Anolis sagrei: one gene and its partner. The main gene of each other region encodes a partner of the protein of the gene in region 2 in a complex. Links are inferred from orthologs where the notes say so. Each region holds a gene or a part of one and is shown on either strand. Other genes may lie near its edges.

Region 1 (16,350 bases), on a different chromosome or scaffold from region 2:
TAGAGCCTGAATAGTAGCATAGGAATAGGAATAAAAGCCTGAAACAGCTGATCAGGTGGTTCAAAGGAAGCACAAGTGGAAAGCAATTAGAACTTTCTGAAACTCTTAATTTTACACTTTATATATTAGATAATATAACCTTTAGAGAAGAGCCAAAAAACCATTTAGAGCAGAATTTCCTCTTGTAGTATACAACCCAATATAATTATGCTAGGCAATGGTTTTGGTTGTTGGACTGAATAACCAGCAATATCCAATCTGCCAGGAAAACAGAGATTTGCCAGTGCATTAAAACAGCAGAGCTTTAGAAGGTATGCTTGTTTCATATCATGATGGAAATAACATATTTGGTTTACTCACAACAGGTACGAAAACTTTTTGATCCTGTTTCAAATATCTTAGAGGCAGTTCCCTGTGTCAGCCAGCCAGGGCATCTCTCTTGTAACAAAACAGCTATCAACAGGTCAGATAGTAAAAAGGAGAGAGAGTGTGTGTGGTCTGTAGCCTCTTTTATAACTTCTCAGAAACCGCAGAGTAAAGGAAACTGATGAAAGTTGTCCAACAGTATAATCTTCAACAGAGGTTGAATTAAGAATTGGGGAAAGAAAGAGATCCGACATATTTTTTTTATTTTTTTAAAGAAAATCCCTCCCGTTATGTGCTGGACTTCATGTGTGCACATGCGAATCTGCTTCTGTTTATATTGAGATTTTTGCATGTGTGCATATATCCAGCGCATAACGGAGTGAACTTTGTAAAAAAAAACTTCTGCTGGATGTTTCCCATCCACCCTCCATATTGATCCACTACAGAGGAAGGCCATATCCTGGGACTGACATGTCTGTGTGGACCTGCTGTCAGATAACAGGATTTTTTTGTTTTGGTATTAGATATAAAACACGGATTTGGCACTGTCTGGAAGTGCCCATAGTCAAACAGTCAGCATCAAATTTTCAGTGGCTAGGATAATGGATAGGAAAGCATTCAGGTTAATGTAATTGCAACCATAAACAGAGTTTTGATAAAAAAGAATCCAAAGTGGAATGGATTAAAGTTCAAAGAAGGTTTAAGTTGAGCATTGTATAATTTGTGGAGGTCTCAGGAGGGACATTTGGAAACTATAGGGGAACTGAAGAGGATTCCACCTTTCATAAATTTCATAATATGAGGGTGAGATGACAGACATGTTTTGGATGCTAGCGCTGCAGTGGTGAAGCCAAACTTAAATTTGGCTTAAGTCTGATGGCAAAACCTGACTGTAGAAATTCTAGAATATTGTTAATGGACTTTCCTATTTATTTATTTGTTTATTTACTTAATTTATACCCCACCTTTCTCAACTTTGCAGGGGGACTCAAGGCAGCTAGTCAAAGAAAGAAGTTTCTTTTAAAATAATTCAATATCTTTCCTAGCTTGGGCAGTGATAGTTGATATTAGTCCATCTCTCAAACACTATATTAATAGGTCAACCACACACACAATCTCAAAATGTATAAAATGACCCCAGGAAAGCAAGTAATGGAGTCAATGTCCAAAAACTGGAAACAACTAGTTATGGCAATTAAAGTAGTTATAATTCCTATAAAACAATTTAGCTGTAAGTATATTACATTATAACTGTATCTGAGTGAAGAATAATACCACTAATTTAGTGGTGTACCTGTTAATTTAAATATTACTTATGTTGGTCTGGTATATGGTCTCACTAAGTGTTACAGCAGAAATATCACCCAATTCAAGTGACACGGGAGATACCTCATACTTTGTATTGTCGAAGGCTTTCATGCCCAGAATCACTGGGTTGCTGTAAGTTTTTTGGGCTGTATGGCCATGTTCAAGAAGCATTCTCTTCTGACGTTTCGCCTGCATCTATGGCAGGCATCCTCAGAGGTTGTGAGGTGTCTGCATGACCTCACAACTTCCGAGGAGGCCTGCCATAGATGCGGGTGAAATGTCAGGAAAGAATGCTTCTGGAACATGGCTACACAGCCCAATACCTTACGGCAACTCACAACATGCTTTGTTGTAAATGTTGAGAGCACAATGATGTGGAAAAGAGAATGTGTTTTCTACAGCAGATCAAGAGATTGTAGCTTTTAGATTATCCCCCCCCCCCCCCAAGAAAAAAATTCTGAACAGATAACTTGTTACATTTCCTTTTATTTGCAGATGTAACATAAATAACTTTAAATATAAAAAGGTTTTTAAAATGGTATGTCCTTGTTCTGATGAGGTCCTTGAGGTATTATGTGTCTATACTTTCCTTTCTGTCACAGCTGAGAAGAGAGCCATGAACCAATTCTAATAGAGCACAGATGAGGGAAGCCTGGCCCACAGTGTTATGCAGATAACCCATACTGCCAGACCTCAAATTGGCAGCATATCTCTGATGGGGGGGGGGGGGGTATATTCCCTGTGAATGCAGCAGCCTTTGAGAGCAGCAACAAGAGGAGGAGCACATGAGTAGCTGAGGTAACCCGTTGGAATTCCAAGAATTCTGATCACTGTGCCTTCCTTTTTGACGCCACAATTATCCAAATTAGGAACCAATTTCATCTCAATCTGCGGCACAGGACTTGAGGAAGAAAAGAAACTGGGCTGATTAGTTCTTTCTGCCTATTATTAAGGGTGACAACTGCATTGCCTCTATTTTAATAAAATGGCAGTACTCTGTTAAAAGATAATAAAACTGCTGTCTCCAGACACTACCCATTTGTGGACTTAAAGATATTTAAAGATATCGTCAAGAGCTATTTCAAACTGCATTTGCAATCCTAATAATACAAAGACTAAAGCTAAATCTCTGCAGGAACTTATACAACAAATTAAGTTGTCATAGTCACAATCAGAATAAACTTTTAAAAAGTGAAGGCTATTTGGAAGGAAATGATGCCTTCAAGGGAAGAATCTTCTTCCCTGCAAGACTAGCTCCTGAAATGCTTACAGCTGAGATCTGTGTGGAACCCAGACACCGCTGCCATGTAAAGTTTAGTCTTAGGAGAATAAAGACCTTGTCACATTGGGGTCCTTGTCACACTGGGGTCCTATGGCAAGCGATAGCGGGGGGGGGGGGGGGGATGCCTTAATGTAGCATGGCGAATCCGGCGGCCAGTGGGGGGAAACAGTTGTCCCACATCACTCCTTACCTTATCCCATGGGGGGAAGCATCTCCATCTAGCTTCCGTCCCCACCCCAATTCTTCTCAAATGCAATTTGAAATAGCATGCTGCCAGAACACTTTCTCTATGGAGCCCTGCCAGAAGTAGTCTTATGTCGTATGATAGGAACCATCAGGCTCAATTTCCTAGAATGCTTCCCGAAGCCTGTGTGATGAAGTGGTAAGATTTCTGGAAACAACATCCTGATCTTTCAAGGTCCTGGAATATGTATGTCCCCCATCACATAGCAGTTGAGGTTTTTTTAGCAACAGTGAAAAGCAACATCAAAATTATCTGAAGCCTCTATCTAACTGTGTGTCTTAAACCATACCAACAAGTGCAACAAAAAGTTGTGCCTTACAGCAATACAGAGATCAGACAGGTCTCACTTCGGGGGGAGGCCACACACCCTCCCCAAACCTCAGGATTTTCATGGTAGGGTGGCTACATAGAGCGATCCCCCAGCCCCCCATTCCCCCAAAAAACTTACCTGAGGGGCCTGTCGGCAGTGAAGACTTCTCTAGAGAGCTCTCCTGGTGCTCAGAAAATGACAGTTCGGGAGGGGGGGAGGGGCCTGCATCACCAGCAGGCCCCTCAGGTAGGTTTTGGACACCTCAAGTAAAACAGAGACACATTTTGGGACTGTCTGGAAGGGCCCACTGTCCCAATTCAGAAGACAGAAGGGAGCAGAAGACACTTCCATCTTGTCTTCTGCCTATATCATCACTTAAGAGGCCCCTCCCCCTTCTGGCACCAACGGCTGCTCTGGCCAGAGCGACGACAGAGGGGAGCAGAAGACATTTCCATCTTGTCTTTACTAATAATATAATATAGTATATTGTATATACATATAATATTTATAATATTATAATGTAGTACAATATAATACTAGTAATAATAATTCAATATTATAATTATAATTATATATTTACATTACATGTAATATTACTAATAATATTACAATATAATGGTATAGTGCAATATAGTAATATATACTGATATTGTACTATGCTAATAATATAATATATTGTATGAAAATATATATTGTAAGCCGCTCTGAGTCCCCTTTGGGGTGAGAAGGGCGGCATATAAATGCCGTAAATAAATAAATAAATTCACAGTCAAGCAACTATATTGTACTCTAGTTGCAGTTACTGAACCATCATACAGGCAGCTCCAAGTGGAATGCAATACAGTTATTAATGTGGGAGATTACTGAGGTATGGTTTACTACTTTGTCCAGGTATGGAAACAGCTAAAAAACCAACCTAATCTGGTAAAGGATTCATCAACCCTCAAAGAAAACCTGTGATTCAAGATGGTTCATGAAATACTCCTAAAACACTAGACCTGCTGCGTCAGATGGAATACAACTCTGAAGTATTGTATGTACTGCTGATAAATGATTTACAGAAGGAAATGACAATTATGCATTATCATAAGTGATATTACCTAAGAAATGTGAAGCTCTAGTAGCTTGCATGTAGTTTATTCATTACTGAATTAGTATGTTCATGGAAGAGAGAAAGATGGACTTTGAAGCTTTTAGTTAACATTCCATTCCAGCCATGAATGAATGATGTATCAAAATGTTTTGGATGATAAACAATAACTCCATCACGACTTCTAAATAAACATTCAAGTGCTGTACAAAGTCATTAACAACTTGATTGAGTATAAGGCCATTATAAAGAAGATACCTGTCATGTTTGAATGTATCTTGCTGCTATTTAGAAATGATAGAAATTGCTATTTATTTTATATCCTGGTTTTCTCCCATGTGGGACACAAAGTGTTCTATGAGGTATGTTAAAACAAAACAACTAAAACATCATGAATACGGAAATTTAAAAAACAATGAACAACAATCCATTCAAAAAATCAATTTTCTTAACAAGGTAGATGTGTTTCTGGGCATTACTTCTTTCACTTAAACTTTGTACTGAGGCACTGAATGTTTGCCTTTTTGTTTGTTTGGAATTCACCCTGAGTCCCCTCGGGGAGGTAAGTTTTTACATTATTATAATTTTGGTACTAGAAGTAGAAATAACATGGAAAGAATAGGGGGATAGGTTCCTATAATACAAAACGAAACATTTCAGCAAAGCTTTTATATAAAAATAACATTACACACATGGGAAATGAAACAATTAGATCAGGAAACCCATGCATAAGGAAAAAAAACATCTTGAATCTTCTACAGAGCATCTGAAGGCTTCTTCCAAAACGCAACTCAAGAGTTTTTTTTTATTTCAATAGCATTCACTTTTCATACTGTTAATATTTTGGTGAGGCAAGCTAATCTGCTTTGCCCCTTTCTTTCTGTTTTGCTTTTCATACACGCTCAGTAAGTGATTCAGGTGGCAACTGTTTACCTTGCTTTGTGTACATAAGCCGTTACAATAGAATGACCTAGAGCATAATACAGTACAATTCTTACCTAGGTTATGTTTTAGTGTATTGTTTGCAATAGACATGCTGTTGCAATCCAACACTAAAAGTGTTTTTCACACCTTTCTTTCCAACATTCCTTCACTATCCTCCCAACGCTAATGCTGCACAATAAAAAGTCTCCCACAAAAAGACTTTGTATAAACAAGGCATGTACAGTGATGTTAACTTATCATGAGTGAATGAATGCATTAAAAAAACTTGAACTGGAGGAGAGGAATATAGGTAAATGTAAAGGTTTTCCCCTGATATTAAGTCCAGTCATGTCCGACTCTGGGGGTTGCTGCTCATCTCCATTTCTAAGCTAAGAGCCGGCGTTGTCCGTAGACATCTCCAAGGTCATGTGGCCGGCATGACTGCATAGAGTGCTGTTACCTATTGATTTACTCACATCTAAATGTTTTTAAACTGCTAGGTTGGCAGAAGCTGGGGTTAACAGTGGAAGCTCGCGCCACTCACCAGATTTGAACCTGCGACCTTTCAAACAGTAAGTTCAGCAGTTCAGTGGGTTAACCCACTGGTTAATTTTAATGACTTTAACTCACATTGACAACCAATTTGGAGAAAAGATAGAATGATAAGGGGCAAAGGTATGTGGGTAAGAGTGAGAAGGGGAAGAAAAAAATGTTGAGAGTTGATTTTCCTAAAAAATGGCACACCCTTTTTTAAAACTATCTTGGTATTAATGCACTACTGTAAAAGCATAGAACAAGAAACACTAGGAATGGTTTCACTTCTAATAAAGACAGTTTTTGTTGAATAAACTATGCTGTCAGAGTTGCCAAACTAAACATGGGAGAGGGTTCCTGTTCAAACTACAAGAGAGGAGATCTGAACATTAGGAAGAACTTCCTGACTGTGAGAGCCGTTCAGCAGTGGAACTCTCTGCCCCAGAGTGTGGTGGAGGCTCCTTCTTTGGAAGCTTTTAAGCAGAGGCTGGATGGCCATTTGTCAGGGGTGATTTGAATGCAATATTCCTGCTTCTTGGCAGGGGGTTGGACTGGATGGCCCATGAGGTCTCTTCCAACTCTTTGATTCTATGAGTCTAAGTTCTGTGAAAGAGGAATTTATAGCAAGAATTGCTCGTTGCCCAAGGAGCAAGATCTGCTGAAATCCCTCCTCCACAATTACAGCAGCCCTTTCCAGTTTTCGCAAGTGACCCTATGCCTTACATTTCCATATTACAAAAAGCACTACTGTATCAGATCTTCCAAAATGAACTCAATTTCAAAGAAGTCCAAAACACCTGTTGGCCCACGCCTGAGTTAGAATCCACTTAACTGGGTACCCATATACACAAACATTATGGGGTTTTTTTAATTGTGAGGAAAACTCAAAAGATGCACTGGTACTTAGTTCTCTATATTGAAACATGGAGTAAAGGAAATTCACTGGGTTTTTGTGAGTTTTCTGGGCTGTATGGTCATGTTCCAGAAGCATTTTCTCCTGACATTTTGCCTGCATCTATGGCAGGCATCCTCCGAGGTTATGAGGTCTGTTGGAAACTAGGCAAGTGAAGTTTATATATCTGTGGAATGTCCAGGATGGGAGAAGGAACTTGTTGTTTGAGGTAAGTGTGAATGTTGCAACTGGCAACCTTGATTACCAAGCATCCTCAGAGGTAGTGAGGTCTGTTGGAACTAGGAAAATGGGTTTATATATCTGTGGAAAGACAAGGGTGGGAACAAAGGACTCTTGTCTGCTGGAGCTAGGTGTGAATGTTTCAACTGACCACCTTGATTAGCATTTGATAGCCCCAAGTGCCTGGAGCAGTCTTTTGTTGAGAGGTGATTAGATGTCCCTGATTGTTTTCCCTCTGCTGTTTTGCTGTTTTAATTTTAGAGGGTTTTTTTAAAATAATGACAGGACTGACAATGTGGAATTGGAAATTGGACTATGAGATAGCGAACGCTGGCCGTCTATGAGGAGTAATTGGGTTTCTATTGTTTTATTGGTTTTAGGGTTGTAATGCAGGAATTGTTGTTTAACTGTTCAACTGATTAATTGATGTTATTTTGTTTTACTGCTGTTATGTGATGTTGGCATCGAATCTGTGCCTTTGTAAGCCGCCCTGAGTCCCCTTCGGGGTGAGAAGGGCGGGGTAGAAGAAACCTAAATAAATAAATAAATAAATACTGATAGCCAGATTTTGTTCATTTTCATGGTTTCCTCCTTTCTGTTGAAATTGTCCACATGCTTGTGGGTTTCACTGGCTTCTCTGTGTAGTCTGACATGGTGGTTGTGAGAGTGGTCCAGCATTTCTGTGTTCTCAGATAATATGCTGTGTCCAGGTTGGGGTATAAAGTTTATTATTATTGTATTGTCGAAGGCTTTCATGGCTGGAATCACTAGGTTCTTGTGGTTTTTTTCGGGCTATAGGGCCATGTTCTAGAGGCATTTCTCCTGACGTTTCGCCTGCATCTATGGCAAGCATCCTCAGAGGTAGTGAGGTCTGTTGGAATTAGGACAATGGGTTTATATATCTGTGGAATGGCTGGGGTGGGGCAAAGAGCTTTTCTCTGCAGGAGCTAGGTGTGAATGTTTCAACTGACCACCTTCATTAGCATTTGAAGGCCTGGCTGCGCCTGGAAAATATTTTGTTGAGAGGTGTTAAGATGTGCCTGGTTGTTTCCCCTCTGTTGCTTTGCTGTTGTAATTTTAGAGTTTTTTAATACTGGTAGCCAGATTTTGTTCATTTTCATGGTCTCTTCCTTTCTGTTGAAATTGTCCACATGCTTGTGGATTTCAATGGCTTCTCTGTGTAGTCTGACATGGTGGTTGTTGGTGTGGTCCAGCATTTCTGTGTTCTCAAATAATATGCTGTGTCCAGGCTGGTTCATCAGGTGCTCTGCTATGGCTGACTTCTCTGGTTGAAGGAGTCTGCAGTGCCTTTCATGTTCCTTGATGCGTGTCTGGGCAATGCTGCGTTTGGTGGTCCCTATGTAGACTTGTCCACAGCTGCATGGTATACGGTAGACTCCTGCAGAGGTGAGAGGATCCCTCTTGTCCTTTGCTGAACGTAGAATTTATTATTATTATTTGTTGAGAAGTGATTAGCTGGTCCTGATTGTTTCTTGTCTGGAATTCCTCAGTTTTTGAGTGTCGTTCTTTATTTACTGTTACGATTTTAAAGTTTAATAACAAGGAAATTCACCTGTTCCGTTCCCTCTTCGTGAGACTGCGCACGAAGACTCCAGGTGCCCTTGGCCGGGTGAGCTCTTTAATCTCTTAACACAGGTAAACACTATTCACCTCAGCTGGGGAGGCCACGCCCATTAAAGCCTTGTCCAATGGCAACGAAGAGGGGGAGGAGAGGAGCGCGCGCAGGCCGAGCCTCGCGCTCAGCGCCCGCGACGTCACCAGCTGACGATTGCAAGCCCCGCCTCCTTTCTCCTCGAGAGAAGGCGGAGCTTGAAGATTGGTGGGAACCAAGGAGGGAGAAGGGGGGAAACCGGATATGCGCATGCGCGGGGAAGAGGCAAGACGGCGATTTGGTTGCTGGGATCTGGCACAGGAGGCGGGGCGGCGGCCGACGTTGTCGACGAGGACGACGGCGGCGGCGACGAAGAAGTTGTGCCGCTTCGGTCTCGGTGAGGCGTGTGAGCTCCGGCGCGTCTCTTTCCGTGAAGGGCCTGAAGCGTCGTCGTTGTCGTCACAGGCGAAGGCGAGGCGCCCTTTCCTCGGTCCGGCGGGTGCCCAACAGGTAGGCATCCTGAGGGAGAGAGAAAGAAGAAGCCCTCTCGTTCCCTCTCGTTCCCTCTCGGCTCGTGGTCGGGGGCATGGTGGGACTGAGGGGGCCTTCCTGGGCCGCCTTGTGTGGGCTGGGAGCGCATTCCTCAGCTTCCTCCGCGTCTCCTCCCTTCCCTTCCCGTGTGAACTTCTGTCCCCGTGTCTGCTTATCGCCCGAAATCTCTCCCCGGACCCCGCCTTCCTTCTTTTCTCCCCTGTTTCCCTTTCCTGCCTGTTTGTTGTTGTCCTCTTCTTCTCCTTCCCCTGTTCGCTTCTATCCCTGAAGTGACAACTAGTTTTGACGGAGACGCTTCCTTTCTTCCTTGTCCTAATCCAGGGCGTCCCAAACAGATTCTCGCCCCGCTACCTTTCACGCAGGTTGTCCCAAAGGTTGCCTAAAATTGATACTTAGAAGCCCCCTTGTAAATTGTATCAGAAGATGAGAGACTTCTACCTCGTATTGGGAATACAATGTATTGGGAATCTCACATGAGAACAACATATTGTATGTGTGGCCAAAACCCCAAAATAACATATAAAACAGCTCTGTATTTAAGCAAAACAATACGTCTTGAGAACCACATATGTAGGGCTGATCGGGGTAAATTGTAGGGGTGATAAGGAAATCTATATAAATAAAAATAATGTTCGTTTGTGGGATTAACAGAACTCAAAAACCACTGGATGAATTGACACCAAATTTGGACACAAGACACCTAACAACCCAATGTATGTCCTTCACTCAAAAAAAATTGATTTTGTCATTTGGGAAGTGTAGTTGCTGGGATTTATAGTTCACCTACAATCAAAGAGCATTCTGAACTCAACCAATGATGGCATTGAACCAAACGTGGCATACAGGACTCCCATGACCAACAGAAAACTCTAGAAGGATTTGGTGGGCATTGACCTTGAGTTTGGGAGTTGTAGTTCACCAACATCCAGAGAGCACTTTGGACTCAAACAATGATGGATCTGGACCAAACTTGGCACAAGCACTCAATACGCCCAAATATGAACACAGATGGAGTTTGGGGGAAATAGACCTTCACATTTGGGAGTTGTAGTTAACTGGGATTTATAGTTGAACTACAATCAAAGAGCAATCTGAATCCCACCAATGACAGAATTGGGCCAAACTTCCCACACAGAGCCCCCATGTCCAACAGAAAATACTCAAGGCCATCCAGTCCAACTCCCTTCACCAATGCAAGAAAACGTAATCAAAGCCCTCCTGACAAAGAGCCATCCAGCCAGATATATAAATAGATATATATGATCCACACACACGCACAGATATAGTATTATAGATTTGAAAGGGACCCCTAAAGAAGGATGATTATATATTCCATTTTCCAGAGTAGGCAAACCAGACAGTCTCCCCATCAACAGTGACAAAGAAACAGCAAGAAATACTGTTTACCCACAAACAGAAAGAAATCACATATATTGTAAACCAACACTTTCTAATTACTTCATTTTCCAGATCACCAGACTAGGCCACAGCAACGCGTGGCAGGGGACAGCTAGTAACATATAAAACATCTCTGTATTTAAACAAAACAATACGTCTGAGAACCACATGTGTAGGGCTGATCGGGGTAAATTGTAGGGGTGATAAGGAAATCTATATAAATAAAAATAATGTTCGTTTGTGGGATTAACAGAACTCAAAACCTACTGGATGAATTGACACCAAATTTGGACACAAGACACCTAACAACCCAATGTATGTCCTTCACTCAAAAAATTGATTATGTCATTTGGGAGTTGTAGTTACTGGGAATTATAGTTCACCTACAATCAAAGAGCATTCTGAACCCCACCAATGCTGGAATTGAACCAAACTTGGCACACAGAACTTCCATGGCTAATGTAAAACACTGGAAGGGTTTTGTTGAGACTCAGCATTCTGGCACCATACCTACTACTAGTTTGGTGGGCAGTGTCCTTTGGTTTTGGAGTTGTAGTTCACCTACATCCAGAGATCACTGTGGACTCAAATAATGATGGATCTGGACCAAACTCTACACGAATACTCAATATGCCCAAATGTGAACACTGGTAGAGTTTGGGGAAAATAGAATCTTGACATTTGGGAGTTGTAGTTGCTGGGATTTATAGTTCACCTACAATCACAGAGCATTCTGAATCCCACCAAAGATAGAATTGGGCCAAACTTCTCACACAGAACCTCCATGTGGGCCACAGCAATGCATGGCAGGGGATGGCTAGTAACATATAAAACTGTATTTAAGTAAAACAATACATCTGAGAACCACATATGTAGGGCCAATCGGGGTAAATTGTAGGGGTGATAAGGAAATATGATATATATATATACTCAGTTTTATCACCTCTTATATTTATTTACTGTATTGTTATAAGTGTCTTATTTTAACTTACTACATGGAGTGTGATCAAGTCTTATCAAGCTTTGTTGTTTTGTTTGATATTGTGATATGACCTAAGGACTAATCAATAAAAATACTACTACTAATTACTACTTACAGTCCCTAGTGTAGGCATGGGCAACGTTGGGCCCTCCAAGTGTTTTGGACTCCAACTCCCACCATTCCTAACAGCCTCAGGCCCCTTCCTTTTCCCCCTCAGCTGAAGGGAAAAGGAAGGGGCCTGAGGCTGTTAGGAATAGTGGGATTTGGAGTCCAAACACCCGGAGGGCCCAATTTCACCCATGCCTTCTCTAGTGTACATAAGAGGAAATGGGAAATTGTTGCTAAATGTACCTGTTGCCCAAGAAAAATGAACTGCCCTTCCTTGTTCTAATCCTCAATAAGTTTGGCTGTGTGTTTATCATTGAATTGTTGCCTCTGTAAACCTCCTTGAGTCGCCTGCGGGCTGAGAAGGGCGGTATACAAATACAGTAAATAAATAACAAATAAATGTGTGATGTCAGGCCTGTAGCCGGGGGGGGGGGGGGGTTAGGGGTTCAAACCCCCCCCCCCTATTTTTCAGGTTAAAAAAAACCCTGGTTTACTCATGAATTTTAACTGGTTAACCAAATCCCCATGCTAAGTCTATGAGATGCAAAAACTGCAAGCACTATCTCAAGCAAATATAGACAATTTATTCACACTGTCATTACTTGCAGCAATGGCCGATATAGCGAAGCAACCAAGTTGGGGGGGGGGGTGTTTAATGCTCTCATTAAGGAGGCCAGACTTGGTGGAGGTGGTTGACAGGAACAAAGCTGCAGTTCGTTGCAACCTGTAAAACATAACATAATATGGAATATAATATACATTTGTTAATCTTTCCTATCTCCTTTTGGGACACCCTGAATATGTATCACTACAATGACATATTCAACTCAGGGCCCTTCCAGACAGGCCCTATATCCCAGGATCTGATTCCAGGTTTTATGCTTTAAACTGGATTATATATGAGTCCCCTGGTGGCCCACTGAACTGTTGAAGTTGCGGACCGAAAGGTTGGCAGTTCAAATTTGAGGAGAATAATGATCTCCCACTGTTAGCCCCAGCCTTTGCCAACAGAAGCTGAAAACATGCAAATGTGAATAGATCAATAGGTACCACCCCCACGGAAAGGTAAAGGCGCTCCATGCTGTCATGCTGGCCACATGACCTTGGAGGTGTCTACAGACAACACTGGCTCTTTGGCTTAGAAATGGAGATGAGCACCACCCCCCAGAGTCGGACACGATTAAACTTATTATCAGGGGAAACTTTTATATATGAGTCCGCACTACCAGAATTTCTTTGTGTCAAGAGCGACTTGAGGAGCTGCAAGTCTTTTCTGGTGCGAGAAAATTGACTGTTTGCAAGGACGTTGCCCAGGGACGTCAGGATGTTTACCATCCTATGGGAGGCTTCTCTCATGTCCCTGCATGAGAAGATGGAGCTGATAGATGGGAGCTCACCCCGCTCCTCAGATTCGAACCACCGACCTTTCAGTCAGCAGTCCTGCCAGCACAAGGGTTTAACCCATTGCGCCACCGGGGGCTCACACTGCCATGTAATCTGGGATGAACAGAAAACCTGGGATCAGATCCTGGGATATAGGGCCTTCCTGGAAGGGCCCTCAGATAATTCAGGATGGCCCCCAAAAGTGTATACACCTTTTAATAGCTAAGTGTAGCTATTGCAGTTATTTGATGACTGATCATTATAAATGTTATAATTATGATTTCATCAGAGTTACAAATTTCATCTTGAAATATTTTTAGGTGAGGTGTTCAAATTGTCAAAATGCACTGCTTGTATTGTCAAAGCACTAGAGCTGAAAACCTCATCTAAAGTTTTTCTTGGAATTTTGTGACACTTCTCTACTATTGGAGCCTTGAATCCTGTCAATAATTTATATATTTGTGGGGGGAGGGGTACCCCCAAAATTGAAGCCCCTGGTGGTACAGCCGGTTAAACCACTGAGTTGATGAACTTGCTGACAGAAAGGTCGGCACTTTGCTCCAAGGAGCGGGGTGAACTCCCGCTGTTAGCCCCAGCTTCTGCCAACCTAGTAGTTCAAAAACATGCAAATGTGAGTAGATCAATAGGTACCACTTCTGCAGGAAGGCAACGGTGCTCTATGCAGTCATGCCGGCCACATGGCCTTGGAGCCATCTACAGACACCACCAGCTATTCAGCTTAGAAATTGTGATGAGCACCACACCCCACAGTCGGATATGACTATATTTAATGTCAAGGGGAAACCTTTACCTACCCATAACATTATAAACTAATATGGATGTGTGCAAATTTGGAGGACACCCTGTAGTTGGTGGCTTTGTTGTCAAGTTTTACTTTCCCCGTTCTTTTAGGTTATGTGTGCAAAATGCAGTGTTTCTTCCCAAGGCACTTCAAACCTTCAGTACCACCATTTTCCCCCATTGCCGTCTCCAGGGTTCTTTAGGTGCAGTGACTTCCATTAGATGTTGTAATTCAGTTTGTTCTGAACTTAATCAAGCCCCCCCCCCCTCCAAATCTACCAACATGACCATGTTGGGGCGAATTGGCCATGTCAACCTATTAGTCTTAACTGCTATACTTAATTCTTTGTAGGAAGAATTGCGTTGGCAAGTCACCAGATCCCATCAGATCATAGAAACTAAGTAGAATCAGCTGTTGTTTGTACTTGGATGGGATACCACCAACGAATACCAAGTGCTGTAGGCTATATTTCAGAAGAAAAAACTTACAAAACCACCCTTGAGTATTGGTTGCCTCAGAAAACCCTATGTAAAATGCATGAGGTTACCATAAGTGAGCAAGAGACTTGAAGGCATACACTCACTGGCAGCACCCGGGGCATAGATTAGCAAAACTATCTCTTTGGAATTACTTCCCATGTATTAAAGCTGTAATATCATTTAGGAAGACCCTTGGCTATGTTTTTATTGAAAACATTAGAGAGCTCCCAATAAAAACCTTTTGTGCTTGTCTTGATCATGTAACTGTACACAATATTAATACATGTAGTCACCCCCCTCCAAAATTATTTATTATTGTCGAAAGTCAGAACTGTCTTCTCTATTACTAACATGTATTGTGGAGCAGGTACAGAAATTTCAGCTACAGTAGAAAAAAAGGAAGAGGTGTTACACATTGAAGTCTTCTTGTTTTGTGTTTGCTTGAGTACAGTCTGCGGTCTCTCAACAAAAACTTGGAAAATTATAGTTTTCCTCAAGAAAGAGAAAAGTTGACATTAAAATTTATTTTTTCTTGTTCTAATGTTTTACCAACTCTGTGCTAGTATATTGAAAGTGCAATTTATGACACACCATATATTGATAGTTACTTTTTTAATGCCCTGTTGAATTATAACAATTTTTTTAGAGTTGGGTAGTATACAATTTTTGAACTAGTTTTCTAATGTTTTGGGAAGTTCTAATGTTCTTATATTTGTGGTACCTAGTTTGAAAGAAAATTCTGTACTATTAGTGACAATTTGTTAATTCTGAATGAAGGTATTGTCTAGTTATCAGCTGGGGAGAGAATAAAAGTATTTCCTGAATATAGACAATGGACCAGTACACTTACTTGTCTCTCCAGCTACATACTTTGGTCTTATATAAAATTATGGTTTATCTGAGAACTTCAGGTCTATGTACATCACTGTGTCTGCTAACCAGTTAGGCTCACCTTTCTCACTAGCTTTTCTGCAGAGATGTTTGTTTTCTTTTGGCCTTCTTTAAAAAGGAAAATGCTGAAGAGAATTATAGGAGAGATAACTTTTTAATTAAAGTTTTGAAATTTATACTTAGGGGTTCTAGTCCAGACATAGGCAAACTTTAGCCCTCCAGGTGTTTTGGATTTCAACTCCCATAATTCCTAGCAGCTTGTATAGTTAAGTGACATAAAGGCCTTCAACAAAGCCTTAGAACAATACATAAAAGTTCAGTCCATTTTTTTCTTGGAAACGGGTCAGTAAGTTACCATAGGTCATAATCTTGTGTTTCTGTAGTTTGAGCTGTAGGCTAAAATAATGTTATCCATTTTATTAATTAAAATATTTTGAATAAGCTGCTTACTGATTAAGTTTGTTGTACAGCAGTTGGCAAACACTCAAAATGAGCTTGCTTCAACAGGTGACTGGAAAGCAATAACGCACGTGGTTTGATTGGCTTGTGGAACAATTAGAAGTGAAAACAAAAAATTGGACTCATGTTCTTTATATTCCCAATGAGAACTAGTTTAGTTAGTTTAATGGAGCTAATTTCCTAGAAGGTATACCTATAGGAACACTGTTCATGTAAGGATTTCTTTGAACTAAATGGTTCTACAATATTATTATTATTAACAAACATTCTGATTTCTAGGTAATGTTATTTTAATATGCAATTCTTCATGGTACCATTGAAACAAAGTAGTTATTTCTGGGCAGACATACGTAAAACATGGGACACTATAGCCAAAAGTCTAATTATTTAAAAGGGTTTTTTTTTCTTTTTCAGTGATAGAGGCACATGCATAAATCTCTACCATTTAAATAATTATCAAACTTTGGATGAGTCCTGATCATGATTTGTTTTGT
Region 2 (16,695 bases):
CACGGCCTCCACGTTTTCTCCCTCTATTTGCCAGTTATCTTGAATGTATGTCCTAGTATTCTTCAAACTAGTCTCCAGTGGGTAGGTGGGTGGGGGGTTGTGATGGTAGTAGAGGAGGAATATTGTAACCCTTCTGACACTGAGCTCCAAATGTCAGCCCCAACAGCCATCATAGCCACAGTCAACTCCAGTATGTATGATCCTGGCCTAACCATTGAGTTCACCTGGGAACTTAAGTTAATGTAGTTGTCTGGCATGAGCTGCTATCATCCTGTTTGATTTGAGCTACAATGGTTGCCATTGTATTTCTAGCTTAATTTGAGATACTACTTTGGATATTTACAGACAGGTTCTGTGTCCATGGATTCTGTGTCCATAGATTTGACCAACCATGGCTTGAAAATGTGCGGGGGGAAATCCAAATATCAAAACTTGATTTTGCCATGTGTCAAGCACTCCATTGATGTGTAGGCAGGCATACCTTATTGTAGCCTCCTGCTATTTCAACAAACCTCAGGCTCCCTTTGACATTCATTTCAATTGTTTCCCATTTTAAATATAGAACACTATTTTACAATGCCATTGTATATAATGGGAGTTCAGCATCTATAGATTTTAGTATCCATTGGGAACCTGGAACCAAAACCCTGAGGATACTGAGGGTCCTTTTACAGTTCTAAATAATTTGGAATGTGGGTACTTTCAGAACTATTTTCATTGTATGTCTGTGTCTCAGCTCATTGCTGGGAAAGCAATGAGCTTCTGGGATTTGGGCATTTTCAGTAGTAGCATGTCCTCTGTTCAACAGCCTTCCAACAGGTGGTATATTAATATGGTTAATCTGAAACTTTGGGTGTTAGCATAAATGCTTGCCAGGCAAGACTCTCCTTTATCCATGGTCCATAGTCTAAATTCGACCTCAGTATATATATGTTGTTACTTTCAAAGAATTTTAAAATGTTACTAATGCAGGATTTATCTTTTTAGAACCCATGTTCTGTCTTCCATAGAAAGGTGGTTTTCTGTATGAATAATAACTTTATCTTCAATAATGCTTTCTTCCAGTTTACCTTTTCCGGATATTGTGTAGCTGGATTTTCATTTCCTGGATACCCCATGAACGCCTTTTAAAAAATTGATTGTTTCTTTTCTCACAGCTAAAAGTCTCATCATAGAAGAAAATTAAATACTGGCTTAGCATCTCTTAACTGGATTTCCAAAATGTGAAATACTCCAAAAGCTAAAATAGTCGTGAAATCTTTGTTTTCTGGTCACTTAATGTACATAAGCATAGTTATATACAAAAATGTATTCAAAATATTGTGTATAAAATTAACTTCAGGCTATGTGTTTAAGTTGCATATGAAACATACATGCATTTTGCCTTTAGATTTGGGTCCCGTCTCCAAGATATCTGATTATGTGCATATATGCAAATACAGGTATTCAAAATCCGGGGGTGGGGGTGGGGAATCAAAAACCAAAATAATTTGATCCCAAACATTTCAGATAATGGCTACTGAAACAGGGTGTCTGTAAAGTCTCTTTAGCATTTAAATAATTTATTGTGAAAGCAAATGAATGCCTCATCATACACATTTAACAGTACCTCGTTCATCAACAGGGTACCTAAAATACACAAATGCAATGTGATTAAAAACTTTGATAACCACTGAGTGCATAAAACAAATCTGATTTAGTCCAGAAAACTGTGGGAATGGTGTCTGGACTACAGTCTGGACACCGGAAGTAGTGGGTTTATCACGCGCCTTCTAAGAAGGCGCAGAATAAATCCACTATCTAATTAATTTACCACAAACCAGGGTTGTCCTGGTTTGTGGGAAATTAATTACGGGTTGGCTAGTACATCAACTGGAGTTTCCGCAATAAAGAGGCTGTCTGAATGGGCCCTACATTCAAATGGCCAAGATCTCCAATGGCATAAGGGGAAGAAATGAAGAAGATTTCACTAGAAAATGGAGACTAGTCTTTATATATTTAAAAAGGAAGACAAAAACAGATTTTGAAATAGCTGAATGGGGGATTTATTAGTGTAATGATAAGGGCAGATTTTTGTTAGATACTAGTTCCATATGGTGTGGTGTTGGAAGTCACGGGTGGGAATGGAGAGGTGGTGGGCCTGGGGCAATAACACTTGTATTTGGATTGTTGAATTTTAACGCTTGTATGTTTTTTTCATATATCACAACACACACACACACATGTTGTGGAATGTTCAATTATTTGAGGATGGATAGGTTAAGCCCCAAAAGTAGGTACTGCAAGGAATTGGAGAAATGGGATAAAGTATCCTGGAGAACAACATGACATGGGAATACATGAGCATAACTAACATAATTTCCATTTTATCACCTATAAAGCCCTAAACGGTTTGGGACCCTCCTACCTTTGTGACCGTATCTTCTTCCACAAGTCCGCCCGATCCCTTCGATCTTCGGGGGATGCCCTCCTTTCGCCCCTTCCTTTATCACAGGCCCAACTTATGGGAACGAGGGAGAGAGCCTTCTCCGCTGTGGCCCCCCGACTCTGGAATTCACTGCCTGGTGAGATTAGGCAAACCCGCACCTTAGCATCCTTCAAGAAAGATCTCAAAACTAGGCTTTTCTGTTGCGCCTTTGGAGAGTGATATGAAATATCCTTTTGTTGTTTCTCCCATAAGGTTTGTTCTCATATTGCACTTTATATTGCACTTCCCCTCCCTGTTTGAAGGCCTGTCTCCACTACCCCATCTCCTACTTCTCTTTCACCCCTATCTCATCCTGAGTTTTTATCATTTTAACTTGTACATGTGGTCTGCCCTTGGGATTGATTTTACATTGTATTTGGTTTGTGCTGTTTTTTAAAATTGTATTCTTATGTTTTTATTGATTTAATTGTATTGTGAGAATTGTTGCTTTGGTTTTATTTTACTGTAATATACTATTGGGCTTGGCCTCATGTAAGCTACTCTGAGTCCCCTTTGGGGAGATGGTGGTGGGGTATAAATAAAGATTATTATTATTATTATTATTATTATTGACACAAAAGCACAGTATGTCACAGCAAACGAGATCTATATGCTGGATTTTGTATCACAAAATCAGAAGTCGAACACTTCCCGAGCGTCTAGGACTGTGTGATGTATTTTCGAATGATGCACGCTGATCCAAGTAAGGTGCCCTTTTGCAATTGACAGATCATGATTTTGTCGATGTTTATTGTTTCCAAGTTCTGGCTGAGATCTTTTGGAACGGCACCCAGTGCGCCAATGAACCACCTGTACTGGTTTATGCCAGAGCCTTTGCAGTTCGATTTTGAGGTCTTGATAGCGGCTGAGTTTTTCTTGTTGTTTTTCCTCAATGCGACTGTCACCTAGTATGGCGACATCAATAATCCAGACTTTTTTTCTTTTCAACAATTGTGATGTCTGGTGTATTGTGTTCCAAAAGGTTGTCAGTCTGGATTCGAAAATCCCACAGTATTTTTGCATGTTCATTTTCCACGACCGTTGCGAGTTTATGATCCCACCAATTCTTTACTGCTGGCAGGTGGTACTTGTGACATAAGTTCTAGTGAATCATCTGGGCCACAGAGTTGTGTCTTTGTTGTTGTTGTTGTTAGTATTATTATTATTATTATTATTATTATTGGCAAAGAGATGGCCAACTGGAAATCTCTAAACCTGTCACTATTAGGAAGAATCTCAGCCATAAAAATGATGGTCTTGCCCAAACTTCTTTTCCTATTCCAGGTGTTACCAATTATAAGAAACAAACAGACAATTAGGAACTGGAACAGAGAAATAACAGAATTCATCTGGGCTGGGAAGAAACCTAGGATAAAATTCATAAATCTAATTGAAAGTAAGGAAAAGGGTGGCCTAGGCTTACCAGATCTTCAAGCATACCACGATGCCTGTGACTTAATCTGGAGCAAAGAATGGGCTAATATCAACAAAACAAAAGACCTAGCTCTAGAAGGACGTGATCTTAGAAGTGGGTGGCATGCGTACATGTGGTACACCAAAAGAAAGATCGAAAAAAACTTTGGCAACCAATTTATTAGATCGTCACTGATATGGGAAAGTATAAATCCAAATTTTATCAAAAACACCTCTTTGGATCTCCCCCCTTGAAGCGTCACAGAGAAGAGAACTGAGTTGGGAGAAATGGCCAAGATATAAAGACATCTTAAAGAAGAACAATTATGATTTCTCTATGAAGACAATAGAAGAGATAAGAAGTTCTTATGGAGAGATATCATGGTTCCAATATAGGCAACTTACAGAAGCATACAATAAAGATAAAAAAAACTAGGTTTTGACAAAGAAGATAATCAGTGGGACAAGATTATGATTGGAGAAAAAAAGAGATTACTAAACTCTACAAAATCATACTAAGTTGGATGACAGAGAAAAACAGAAAAAAAATTCATTTCAAAATGGACAGCAAACCTTGGTCATATTATTGGAACCACAGAGTGGGAAAAGATATGGAAAGTTAAATTAAAGTGGATAAATTCTTATGACTGGTTAAAAATGATGTACCGGTGGTACATCACACTGAGTACATTGGTGAAATCTTACAGGAATGTCCCTGAGACATGTTGGAAATGCCAAAGTAAAAAAGGCATCTTCTTTCACTCATGGTGGACATGTGAAAAAACAAAAAAATTCTGGAAAGAGATCTACGAGATAATAAACAAGATACTGGATATAAAAATAGAAATGAAAGCTGAATATTACCTGTTAGGTATATTAGATTTTGAACTTGGGAAAAATAAAGACAAGCTTCTTTTTCACATGGCGACAGCTGCAAGAATTGTAATAGCAAGAAAATAGAAGAATAAAGAACTACCAACAGTCGAGGGATGGACAATAAAACTTCTAGATATAATAAATATGGACTCCCTAACATGGCACATGAAAAATAAACAGAAGACAGGGACTGTCAGGACAGATTGGTCTCCAATCAAAGAATATTTCAAGATTAACCAGACTTAGACATGTAAGAATTACGACTAGGAAAATATAACATTAAAGTTTCTTGGGGCAAAATGGATGAATAAGACCAAGAACTCTCCTGTGACACATTCCCTAGCCCCCACATCTCCCTCATCCACCTTTATCCGTTCACATCCCCCCACCCCTCCTGAACTTCTCCCCCCCCCCCCCAGCCCCCTATTATGTGTTTTTCTTTTTAATGTAATGGTTAAGTCTAAGTTACTGATTCTTGAAACTTGGATGTATCCCCATCTTGGAAAACCCTCAATAAAAATTAATTAAAAATATTATTATTATTATTATTATTATTATTACTACTACTACTACTACTACTACTAGCTGTCCCAGTGGCCCAGTCTGTTGATCTGGAAAATAAAGTATTGAGAAAGTGTTGGTTTCTAATATATGTAATTTCTTTATGTAATTTCTTGTCGGTAAACAATATTTCTTGCTGTTTCTTTGTCAGTATTGATGTGGAGAGTGTCTGGTTTGCCCACCCTGGAACATGCAAGATATCATTGTCCTTCTTTAAGGATCCCTTTCAAATCCCTTTCGAATCTATGATACTATATCTCTGCATGTGTGAATCATATCTATCTATCTATCTATCTATCTATATCTATCTATGGATGGATGGCTCTTTGTAAAGATGACTTTGATTATGTTTTCTTGCCTTGATGAAGGGAGTTGGATTGGATGGCTTTAAGTATTTTCTGATGGTCATGGGGGTTCAGTGTGGGAAATTTAGCCCAACTCTATTGTTGCTGGGGTTCAGAATGCTCTTTGATTGTAGGCGAACTATAAATCCCAGCAACTACAACTCCCAAATGTCAAGATTCTATTTTTCCCAAACTCTACCAGTGCTCACATTTGGGCATATTGAGTATTCGTGTGGAGTTTGGTCCAGATCCATCATTGTTTGAGTCCACAGTGATCTCTGGATGGAGGCGAACTACAACTCCAAAACCAAAGGACACTGCCCACCAAACCCTTCCAGTGTTTTCTGTTGGTCATGGGAGAACTGTGTGCCAAGTTTGGTTTAATTCCATCGTTGATGGGGTTCAGAATGCCCTTTATTTGTAGGTGAACTATAAATCCTAGCAACTACTACTCCCAAATGACAAAAGCAATTTTTTTGAGTGAAGGACATACATTGGGTTTTTAGGTGTCTTGTGTCCAAATTTGGTGTCAATTCGTCCAATGGTTTTTGAGTTCTGTTAATCCCACAAACGAACATTACATTTTTATTTATATAGACTAGCCCATCCCCTGCCACACGTTGCTGTGGCCCAGTCTGTGTATATGTGTTTAGTGTCTGTGTATATGTATATATTTGTGTATATGTGTATATGTGTGGTTTTGTGCATGCGTTGCAATGTATATATTTTTTGGCTTTTTAAGTATTTTCTGCTGTGTTTTTCAGTGTTTTTATGAGTGTTTTTATTGTGTCCAAGTTTTGTGTCAACTCGCCCAGTGGTTTTTGAGTTATGGTAATCCCACAAACATTACATTTTTATTTATGTAGCAGCAGATCTAATTGTGGCGTCATCATCGGGTTCGCAGGTTGGGAGTGATCCTGGACTCATCGCTGAGCCTGGAGCCCCAGGTTTCAGCGGTGGTCAGGGGACCTTTTGCACAATTAAAACTTGTGCGCCAGCTGAGCCCGTACCTTGGGAAGTCTGACTTGGCCACGGTGGTCCACGCTTTGGTTACATCCCGTTTAGATTACTGCAACGCTCTCTACGTGGGTTGCCTATGAAGACTGCCCGGAAGCTCCAATTACACCAACGTGCGGCAGCCAGAATGCTAACACGAGCAGGGTACAGGGAGCATACTACTCCTCTGTTGCGCCAGCTCCACTGGCTGCCAATTAGCTTCTGAGCACAATTCAAAGTGCTGGTGTTAACCTAAACGACTCCGACCCAGTTTGCCTGTCCGAACGTATTCTCCCCTATGAACCATCTAGGTTGTTAAGATCTTCTGGAGGGGCCCTGCTCCTGGTCCCACCGGCCTCTCAGGCATGTCTGGTGGGGACGAGGGACAGGACCTTATTTATTTATTTATTTATTATTTATTTACTTTACTTGTATACCGCAGTTTCTCAGCCCAACAGGCGACTCAACGCGGTTTACAACAAGGATAAGAATCAATCAACGATATACAATTTAAAACCATAAAAGCATAATATACAATATTGACACAACAATAGACAACACAATGGATCTCATAACTAGAGTCGTGATCCAATCCGTCGTCCAAATTTCCATTCCTGTAATCATCACATTCATTGCACTGTTTAACCGAATGCCCGTTCAAACATCCAAGTTTTTAATCTTCTTCGGAACACCATTAGCGAGGGGGCTGATCTTACCTCCATAGGAAGGGCGTTCCACAGCCAGGGGGTCACCACAGAAAAGGCCCTGTCTCTCGTCCCCGCCAGCCACACCTGTGAAGCAGGCGGGATAGAGAGCAGGGCCTCCCCAGAAGATCTTAGGGCCCTGGCGGGCTGATAGGCAGAGATACGTTTGGATAGGTAACTTGGGCCAGAACCGTTTAGGGCTTTATAGGCCAACACCAGCACTTTGAATTGAGCCTGGTAGCAAATCGGCAGCCAGTGGAGCTGGTGCAGCAGAGGAGTTGTATGCTCCCTGCGCTCCGCTCCTGTTAGTATCATGGCTGCCGAGTGTTGGACTAGCTGGAGCTTCCGAGCCGTCTTCAAAGGCAACCCCACGTAGAGAGCGTTGCAGTAGTCTAGACGGGATGTAACCAGAGCGTGGACTACCGTGGCCAAGTCAGACTTCCCAAGGTACGGGCGCAGTTGGCGCACAAGTTTTAACTGTGCAAATGCTCCCCTGGTCACCGCCGAAACCTGAGGTTCCAGGCTCAGCGATGAGTCTAGGATCACACCCAAACTGCGAACCTGTGTCTTCAGGGGGAGTGCGACCCCATCCAACACAGGCTGTAACCCTATACCCTGTTCGGCCTTACGACTAACCAGGAGTACCTCTGTATTCTTGGTGGTGGCCCCTCAACTCTGGAACTCTCTCCCACTGGAGATCAGAACTGCCCCCTCCATTCTGTCGTTCAGAAAACGGGTGAAAACCTGGCTATGGGGTTTGGCTTTCAACGAGTGAATCAATATTTCTGTGATCGGATAGATGATGATGAATGATGGACAACAAATTCACTATGATGACTGACCATTGTTATTTTGTGATTGCATTTTGCTGTTATAACGTTTTAATTGAATATGTTATATGATGTTTTTAATGATTGTTTTGTGATTTTATTGTTGGAAACCTGCCCGAGTCCCCTGATAGAGGGGAGAAGACCGGTATACAAAATTGCTAAATAAATAAATAAAATTTAAAATAGCACTTATTTCTCTTGCCCGAACCAATCTGTAAAGGTATATTGTACAATGTGTTATCATGTAGGGCTTTGGGGAATAGATTGGGCATTGAAATAGGAAAACTTCAAGGAAAACCTCAAAAAGAGTGCTGTGGGATGCAGTTTGAAGGCATCATCTCTCCCCGGTGGCACGACTCTTCATAATACTAAGGCAGGCAAGAGAGACTCCAGTCCACTCCGCAGTGAAATCTGCACCAGGTTTGAGGCATCACCCAAAGCTGCTGGAGTAAAATCTTACCAAGCGCAAATGCCTTTTAAATTGAACTCTGCAGGTTTGCAGTGCATGCTGGCGAGGGACAGAGGCAGAGATGGCATGCCGGGGACCCTGTGCCTTGACCGCTGTCCTAGGTTCAGGGCAGGAATAGGATGCAATAAATAGACACACAGCATCCCCTGTGGGACTGGGAACTTTCAAGGAAGATGGTTCATCAGGAAAAATAATATGGCTCCATCCAGGACGAACTCTCTCCTCATCTTCTACCTCGGTTTCTTGCTGCTCATCCATTTAAAAAGTAAGCATTCCTATTCCCTTTCACCTGTCATGTTGCTTCTCCTGCATCATACGTAAACAGGTCTATTTCTGAAAGCAAGCTTGTAAAACTTGAAAAGACATAAGAATTAGTTCCGGAGTTATCAAAAATGAGTGAACAGATGGCTTTGAGGTCATAAGAGTTCAAGGGAGTCAGAAAGAGAGGAGTAACTTTTGAAATGAATGAATGGTTATTTGGAGGATCCAGAAGAACTAATACTGCCGAATGCATCAAGGTTTGTTGTCCTTTAAAAAACACATTATCCAAATCTTACCAAACTTAAATAGTCAGGTGGTTTAACTTTCTACATTTGATAACAGCATATTAATGGGTTTGTTGCAAATATTTTGTCAGCTTTCAATTTCCTTATTCCTTTTTTTCTCCTTCAAAGCGAGGGAGCTCTCCAACCATCTCGTAAAAGCCTCTTTGAGGAGGGACCCCAAGAATTTGGTCAATTAATGTCACATTGTACTTTGATTTTACTTTGTAAAATTTGACCTTCTATTATGAGGGGGAAAGTGTTTGCTATTGATTTTAAAAAGAACAAAAGAAAAACCCTTTCAACAAAGTATTGTCGAAGGCTTTCATGGCTGGAATCACTAGGTTCTTGTGGGTTTTTTCGGGCTATAGGGCCATGTTCTAGAAGCATTTCTCCTGACGTTTTGCCTGCATCTATGGCAAGCATGCTCAGAGGTAGTGAGGTCTGTTGGAATTAGGACAATGGGTTTATATATCTGTGGAATGGCTGGGGTGGGGCAAAGAGCTCTTCCCTGCTGGAGCTAGGTGTGAATGTTTCAACTGACCACCTTCATTAGCATTTGAAGGCCTGGCTGAGACTGGGAAAATCTTTTGTTGAGAGGTGTTAAGCTGTGCCTGGTTGTTTTCTCTCTGCTGTTTTGCTGTAGTAATTTTAGAGTTTTTTAATACTGGTATTAAAACTCTAAAAAAACTCTTTAAAAAACCCCTCTAAAATTACAATAGCAAAACAGCAGAGAGGAAACAACCAGGCACAGCTTAACACCTCTCAACAAAAGATTTTCCCAGGCTCAGCCAGGCCTTCAAATGCTAATGAATGTGGTCAGTTGAAACATTCATACCTAGCTCCAGCAGAGAAGAGCTCTTTGCCCCACCCCAGCCATTCCACAGATATATAAACCCATTGTCCTAATTCCAACAGACCTCACTACCTCTGAGCATGCTTGCCATAGATGCAGGTGAAACGTCAGGAGAAATGCCTCTAGAACATGGCCCTATAGCCCGAAAAAACCCACAAAAACCTAGTGACTCCAGCCATGAAAGCCTTTGACAATACAAAGTGTTTGCTATTGATTTTAAAAAGAATAAAAGAAAAAACCTTTTCCACAAACTTCCCCTTTACAGAGCAAATAGGAGCGGGGAAAGCTTTCAGATGTTGCTGTATGTTGTTGTTAATTTAAATGAAGTTCTGCTGGCAAAGCCGATGTGTCTGTTTAGAAGGGGAAGGCTCTATAGAACAGACTTTGAAACCATGTGCGTATGTGTCTGAAAAGGTTGTGCGCTTTGTGCCGGCTGAATCTGAATTTTAATCAGACAAGCTGCCAACAGCTGCCATTAAACAAGGAGACTTGGCATTAGCGACCGGTGTCGTGTAATCTGGGTCACCTTCTGTTGTATTGTCAAATTGTTCCTACACACATAGGTTTATAAGCTGGGATAAAGCAGGTGCTACAAGTTGTAGCATGAGGTGAGGATGCAAACTAGGAAAACTTTAGGAGTTATGTATAAATGGTTGCACAATAAGCACTACCTTCAAATTGTCATTGAGTCTATATATCCATCTACGAGGGGTATTTTTTAAGTAAGGTCCGTTTTGTTGTAAACACTAGTAGTTCACGCGCATACCGCAATGAGCGCGTGCGTCGTGTACCGGCATGCCTCGGGAATAACTGTGCTCAGTTTCCGCTCTGTAGCTTTAAAAATGTTTAAGACTATCAACTCACCCTCCGCATGTGAGGTTCGCTCAGTGATACTGTTTTTATCAGCAAGGAACCTGCCTGCTGCAGAAATTAATCGACAGATTTGTGAAGTGTACGGTGATACTGTTATGAGTGAAAGCAAAGTGCATAAGTGGGTACGACAATTCAAAGATGGCCGTGACAACATCCATGATGAGGACAGCTCCGGTCGCCCTTCTTTGATTACAGTGAACTCTTGGTTATTGGAGCAGGCGGAAGAGGGTATTTTTAAATTGGTTCAGAGGTATGATAAGTGTTTGAACTAACTTGGCAACTATGTCGAAAAATAGAGTGAAGTGTGTACTTTCTGAAAATAAATTTACTTTTTTGAAATAAACTTTTGTTGTGTACTTATGTTCAAACGGACCTTACTTAAAAAAATACCCCTCGTATATAAATAAAAATGTAATGTACGTTTGTGGGATTAACAACTCAAAAACCAGTGGGCAAATTGACACCAAATTTGGATGGCATACAACCCAATGTATGTCCTTCACTCAAAAATTTCTGATTTTGTCATTTGGGAGTTGGAGTTCTTGGGATTTATAGTTCACCTACAATCAAAGAACATTCTAAACTCCACCAATGACGATTAAAGCGACAGCTTCGCGGCCAGAAAAAGTTAAATAGCCTCTGTCTATGTCTGTATATGTTGTATGCTAAAATTGGCATTGAATGTTTGCCATATATGTGTACACTGTAATCCGCCCTGAGTCCCCTGTGGGGTGAGAAGGGCGGAATATAAAAGCTGTAAATAAATAAATAAATAAATAAATAATGATGGAATTGGACCAAAGGTGACACACAGGACTCCCATGACCAACAGAAGGCTAGAACGGTTTGGTGGACATTGACCTTGTGTTTGGGAGTTGTAGTTCACTTACATCCAGAGAGCTCTGTGGACTCAAACAATGATGGATCTGGACCAAACTTGGCACAAATATTCCATATGCCCAAATATGAACACGGATGGAGTTTGGGGGAAATAGACCTTGACATCTGGGAGTTGTAGTTACTGGGATTTATAGTTCACCTACAAAGAGCATTCTGAACCCCACAAACACAGAATTTCCCACACAGAACCCCCCATGACCAACAGAAAATACTTTATTTATTTATTTATTTATTATTCAAACTTATATGCTGCCACTCCCCTGGGGCTCGGAGCAGCTTACAAGAATGGCTAAAATCTAACACAATTTAAAAACAATTTAAAACAATTTAAAAACAGCAATATCAAAAGTCAAAGGCCTGTCGAAACAGGTATGTCTTACATGCCCTGCAGAAAGCTGATAAGTCCCGCAAGGCACGGACTTAAGGTGGCAGAGTATTCCAGAGCAATGGTGCCACTGCTGTAAAGGCCCTGCGTCTGGTTGCTGTTAGACGCAAGGTCTTGACACTGGGAATTTCCAATAGATCTTGGTCCTTAGAACGGAGGGATCTCGGGGGTTGGTAGGGGGTGAGGCGGTCCCTCAGGTACATAAGGCCCCAGACTTAAGGCCATCCAGTCCAACTCTCTTCACCAGGGCAAGAAAATCTAATCAAAGCCCTCCTGACAAAGAGCCACCCGCCCATAGATATAGATAGATATATAATATGATTCACACGCACACACAGATATAGTATCATAGATTTGAAAGGGACCCCTAAAGAAGGACAATGATAGGTTGCATATTCCAGAGCAGGAAAACCAGACAATCTCCACATCAACATTGACAAAGAAACAACAAGAAATACTGTTTACCCACAAGCATAAAGAAATTACATAGATAAGAAACCATTACTTTATTTTCCAGATCACCAGACTGGGCCACAGCAACCTAGTCCACCTCTCGTCTTTTTATCAATCAGGTTCAAGTACTTAATTCTCAGTCTTTTCCCATTCCAAACAAATTTCATTAGTTTTTTATTCCATTTTTTTAAAGGTTTGGTTAATTATAGGTATATTTTGAAATAAAAATAATAACTTTGGTAAAACACTCATTTTTATGAGAGCAATCCTTCTTAACAAGAATAAGTTCAAAAATTTCCATTTCTTAAGACCTTTCTGTATATTATTCCAAGACATTTCATAGCCCCCCTTGCAGAATACACAAAATAGGGAAATATTGCATATTGCAAAATGCATTTTTATATTTTTATGTTTATAAGGACAATGTTTGAGTACTTTGAAAATGCAGAAGTAATTTCCTGAAACTTCAAACACACAGAGAGAAGAAGCTTGTAGTCTCATGAAATTGTTTACCTGCAATACTTCCATGAAAAAAACAAAACATTTTTTTACATATGGTGCATGGATGAAGGGATGTAAAATATGAGTTGGAAGGAGTTATGTCAGAGGGCCTGTCCAGACAGTAATTTTATTGTGGCAATTCCCGCAATAAAGAAGGGGCTGTCCAGACAACATTCTAAACAGTCCCGAATTAATTCGCTACAAGCCAAGCAAACCCTGGTTTGTAGCTAATTAATTGGATAGAGGATTTATTCCGCACCTTCTTGGAAGGTGCAGGATAGACTGCAGTCCAGACACCATTTCCACAGTTTTCCGTACTAAATCAGTCTGGAAAACTGTGGTAATACCCACCCTCCCCCCAAAACCTACAGACTTTTGAAAAGTAAAATAAACTTACCCAGCCTCCAGTATAATCTTGGAGCAGCTCTCCTGACATGTAGAAATTAGCACCAGGAGAGCGGGGTGGGGGGGGGGGGTGGGGGTGGGGTGGGGGGTGGGACGAGGAAAATCACTCCCCCACCCCCATTCTCCTGATGCGTCATTTCTACAGTCCAGGAGAGCTGCTCCAAAAGTGTGCTGGAGGCCAGGTAAGTTTATTTTACTTTTCTTTAAAAAATGTTTATGGATTGGTTTTATAGAATTAATATATGCACTTATAGAATTAATATATGCACTAAAATTTTAACCTCGAAAATGGGAGAACGTGTTCATTGTTGATAGAAAAGCCATGAAAAGAGAAGGAGTATTGCTTTACTAAGAAAAAAAGAACAAAAAAGACAAAAAGAAAAAAATGTTCAAAAATTGGTAGAAAAATATAAAAAGTGTATTTAAAGCAAAAGCAAAAAAAAAGCGTGACTTCCATCTAGTATTTGAGGGTCTTTAGTGTCTTTTTCTGGATTGTGGAAGATAATACTTCCATGCTCGTATCTTCTCTATCTGTGGTTTACTCTCTTTAGGTAATAATCTCTATTTTCCATTGTCTAAAGTAGCTTTTTACCGGGTCCCAGTTTATGTGGTTCTTTAGAATTCCTTGGTTTGGCGTTAGCCAATAAATTAATTCATCCATGTTCATTATCTCCAAAATTTTATTTTACTTTTCAAAGGGGTCTGGGGGCTTTTGGGGAGAGGGGTAGGGCCTCCAGATGTTCTGACAGGCCAGTCCTGCAGGAGCATCTGGACATCTACCCAAGAAAGTGCACGCTTTCTGGTATGGGTGTGGACAGGCCCTCAGGAAGATCCGCATTTTTTAAAATGGGGATTCTCCTGGGATAAAGGCCCGTCTGCATCCGCCCAGAGCCTCTGCAGTAGGCTTAAAAGGCTCTTAGTTTGGTGAAAGAATTTACAACAAAGAGAGATGTAATAAGAAGAGTGGCTCTCCTGGGATGCTCTAGCTCTTAGCAAGATGGGCTTGTAGCACTAGAACCCATTTTTAGGACTTGTGCGATAAAAGTCTTCAGGTACTTGTGTAATCTTAATTAATTATGGTTTATATCTTCAACAGAATCTGCTACATAGAAAGCTTAAAATGAAGTTCTAATGTTTTCCATGTTAGTCAGGGCAATAAGAAATATAGTTCAAGAGGCGGGAGTATAAAGTTTTGTCCTGACACAGTTCAGTCGCCATCGTGCATTGGAACAGTGAGGAGCGTGCTTTTGCCATTGAGGCCTACGTTTCGAGCGGATTTGGAGTGGCCGGCCCGCTCTCTAGATTTGGCCCCTTGTGATTTTTTTCTATGAGTTTTTTTTTTAATCTCGTGTTTATGCGAACCGTCCAAGGACCCTACAAGATTTGAAGACCAACATTTGGGAAGATATTGCCAACATAACGCCTGCTATGCTGGCAAGACTCATGGCAAACGCCAGAAATTGGTTTACTCAGTGTATGGAGAATGGAGAATGGGTGATGTCAAATACCTAATTTGATCTTCAAAACTACATAAAACAAAATTTTAGGTATGCGCCTACATTATATATAAAAAATTCTGCATACAATGGGTTATATTAAGTTTTGAAAAAAGGAAGTTATGCTGCCTCACCCTGTACATCACAGCTGGAGAAAAAAAAATGCAAATAAATACTATTACCTCAGTCCACTGTAATTTACGTTGTTGGGTTTGTTGCATCTTGAAGCAATGATAGTTGACGTTGGGAAATGAGGGTGGACATATGGGGAAAATATAGGATATATTCATGTGCAAATTTTTCACAGGTGCACATATTATATTTGGTGTCTCATCAGAGGCAGCCCTAGGTAATTTTCAATGGTAAGCAAACAGTATTGTGCCCCCTCCCCCAACCAATCACTGATATATATTTTCTGTTCGTTGTGGGAGTTCTGTGTGCCATATTTGGTTCAATTCCATCATTGGTGGAGTACAGAATGCTCTTTGATTGTAGGTGAACTATACATCCCAGTAACTACAACTCACATATGTCAAGGTCTATTTTCCCCCAAGAGTGCCTCAAGAGCGCCCCTGGGCAAAATCAACTATACTGCAAATGCTTACTTTGTGTAATGGGTTGAGCCGCCCCTGTGTCTCATGTAAGCCTTGTAAAATTCTAAATGTCAATGCAAAAACATTTTTAAATGGTTCCATCTTCTGCACCAAGCACCTTAAATTATGTACAGAGAGAAAGACAGAAACAAGAAATGAATGCGTTGAATTGTAATGAAAGATAGATTTTTAAAACAGATTTTCCACTTTGAGCAATGGTTTCCCTCCTCCCCCAAAATGGATTTTCCTTTCTTTCAAGGACATATACTGTTGCTCTACGAATTTCTAATTAATCCTAATTGCAAGGAGAGGATAAAAGGCCTGGGTACAAAAGGATTCATGAGGTTTTGCTCCAAATGAAGAACATCCCTCACTTGCAAAGAAGATGGCAATGAGCAGCCACCTTTGGCAATTGCAGGCTGGCACCATTGTTTGCCTGGCTGAGTTCCTAAGGGATCTGGCTGCATAAGCTGACTCTCATTAGCTGGATAGAGAATGAAGAGCCAGATAGGAAGATATTGGTGAGTTTGGACCATTCATGTAGGGAAGCTCTCAGTGCAAATTGTAGCAGCCTGTGTCCTTACATAGCTTGACAAATTCAGGGTTGTTGGTGGTAGGCAGTCTGAAGGAAGAGATCCCATATTTCCTTCCTCTCATTTACAACCCACACAAAAGCACTGATAATGAGCTAAGACATTTCAACTCTCCGCTTTTGCTCCCTTTAATAACTTGTCCAAGTCGCATCTCTTCTCTCTCCCGTTTTGGGGTTGAGGAGAGTGTCACTGCACTTCATCTCACGTAGCAATTTGGTCTCTTCGAAATGGAGCCAGCCTAAATAAATGGGAACTTTTGAGCAATTAGGCCTCGGTGATTCACTCACAGCATTATTTCAGGATGACTAGGAGAAAAGAAGAGTGAAAGTAGGAGTCACAATTTTTGTTTTTCTATAGTCTTATCTGTGAAATACAGGTGGTCCCAAGCCACAGCCAAATGAAGCAAGAATTGTGGCTGCTGGGAACATGGATCAAAAC

Evidence for each region.
Region 1: the proteins of CRB1 (region 2) and PALS1 are in contact, whole or in part, in a crystal structure (PDB 4UU5), measured with the Homo sapiens proteins. The link is inferred for Anolis sagrei from reciprocal best matches to the Homo sapiens genes CRB1 and PALS1. Residues at the interface, in NP_957705.1 of Homo sapiens: Ala1401, Met1402, Glu1403, Arg1404, Leu1405, Ile1406; in NP_071919.2 of Homo sapiens: Lys261, Pro266, Leu267, Gly268, Ala269, Thr270, Val271, Arg272, Asn273, Ser281, Arg282, Val284, Val314, Asn315, Val317, Phe318, Leu321.

The regions. Positions count from the first base shown.
Region 1 is NC_090021.1:281,640,670-281,657,019, forward strand, and holds the start of PALS1 (protein PALS1), read left to right. Parts: upstream 1-9,034; 5' UTR 9,035-9,312; intron 9,313-16,350. UniProt on the Homo sapiens protein: Plays a role in tight junction biogenesis and in the establishment of cell polarity in epithelial cells.
Region 2 is NC_090024.1:109,691,648-109,708,342, forward strand, and holds the start of CRB1 (protein crumbs homolog 1), read left to right. Parts: upstream 1-8,648; 5' UTR 8,649-8,855; coding exon 8,856-8,925; intron 8,926-16,695. UniProt on the Homo sapiens protein: Plays a role in photoreceptor morphogenesis in the retina. May maintain cell polarization and adhesion.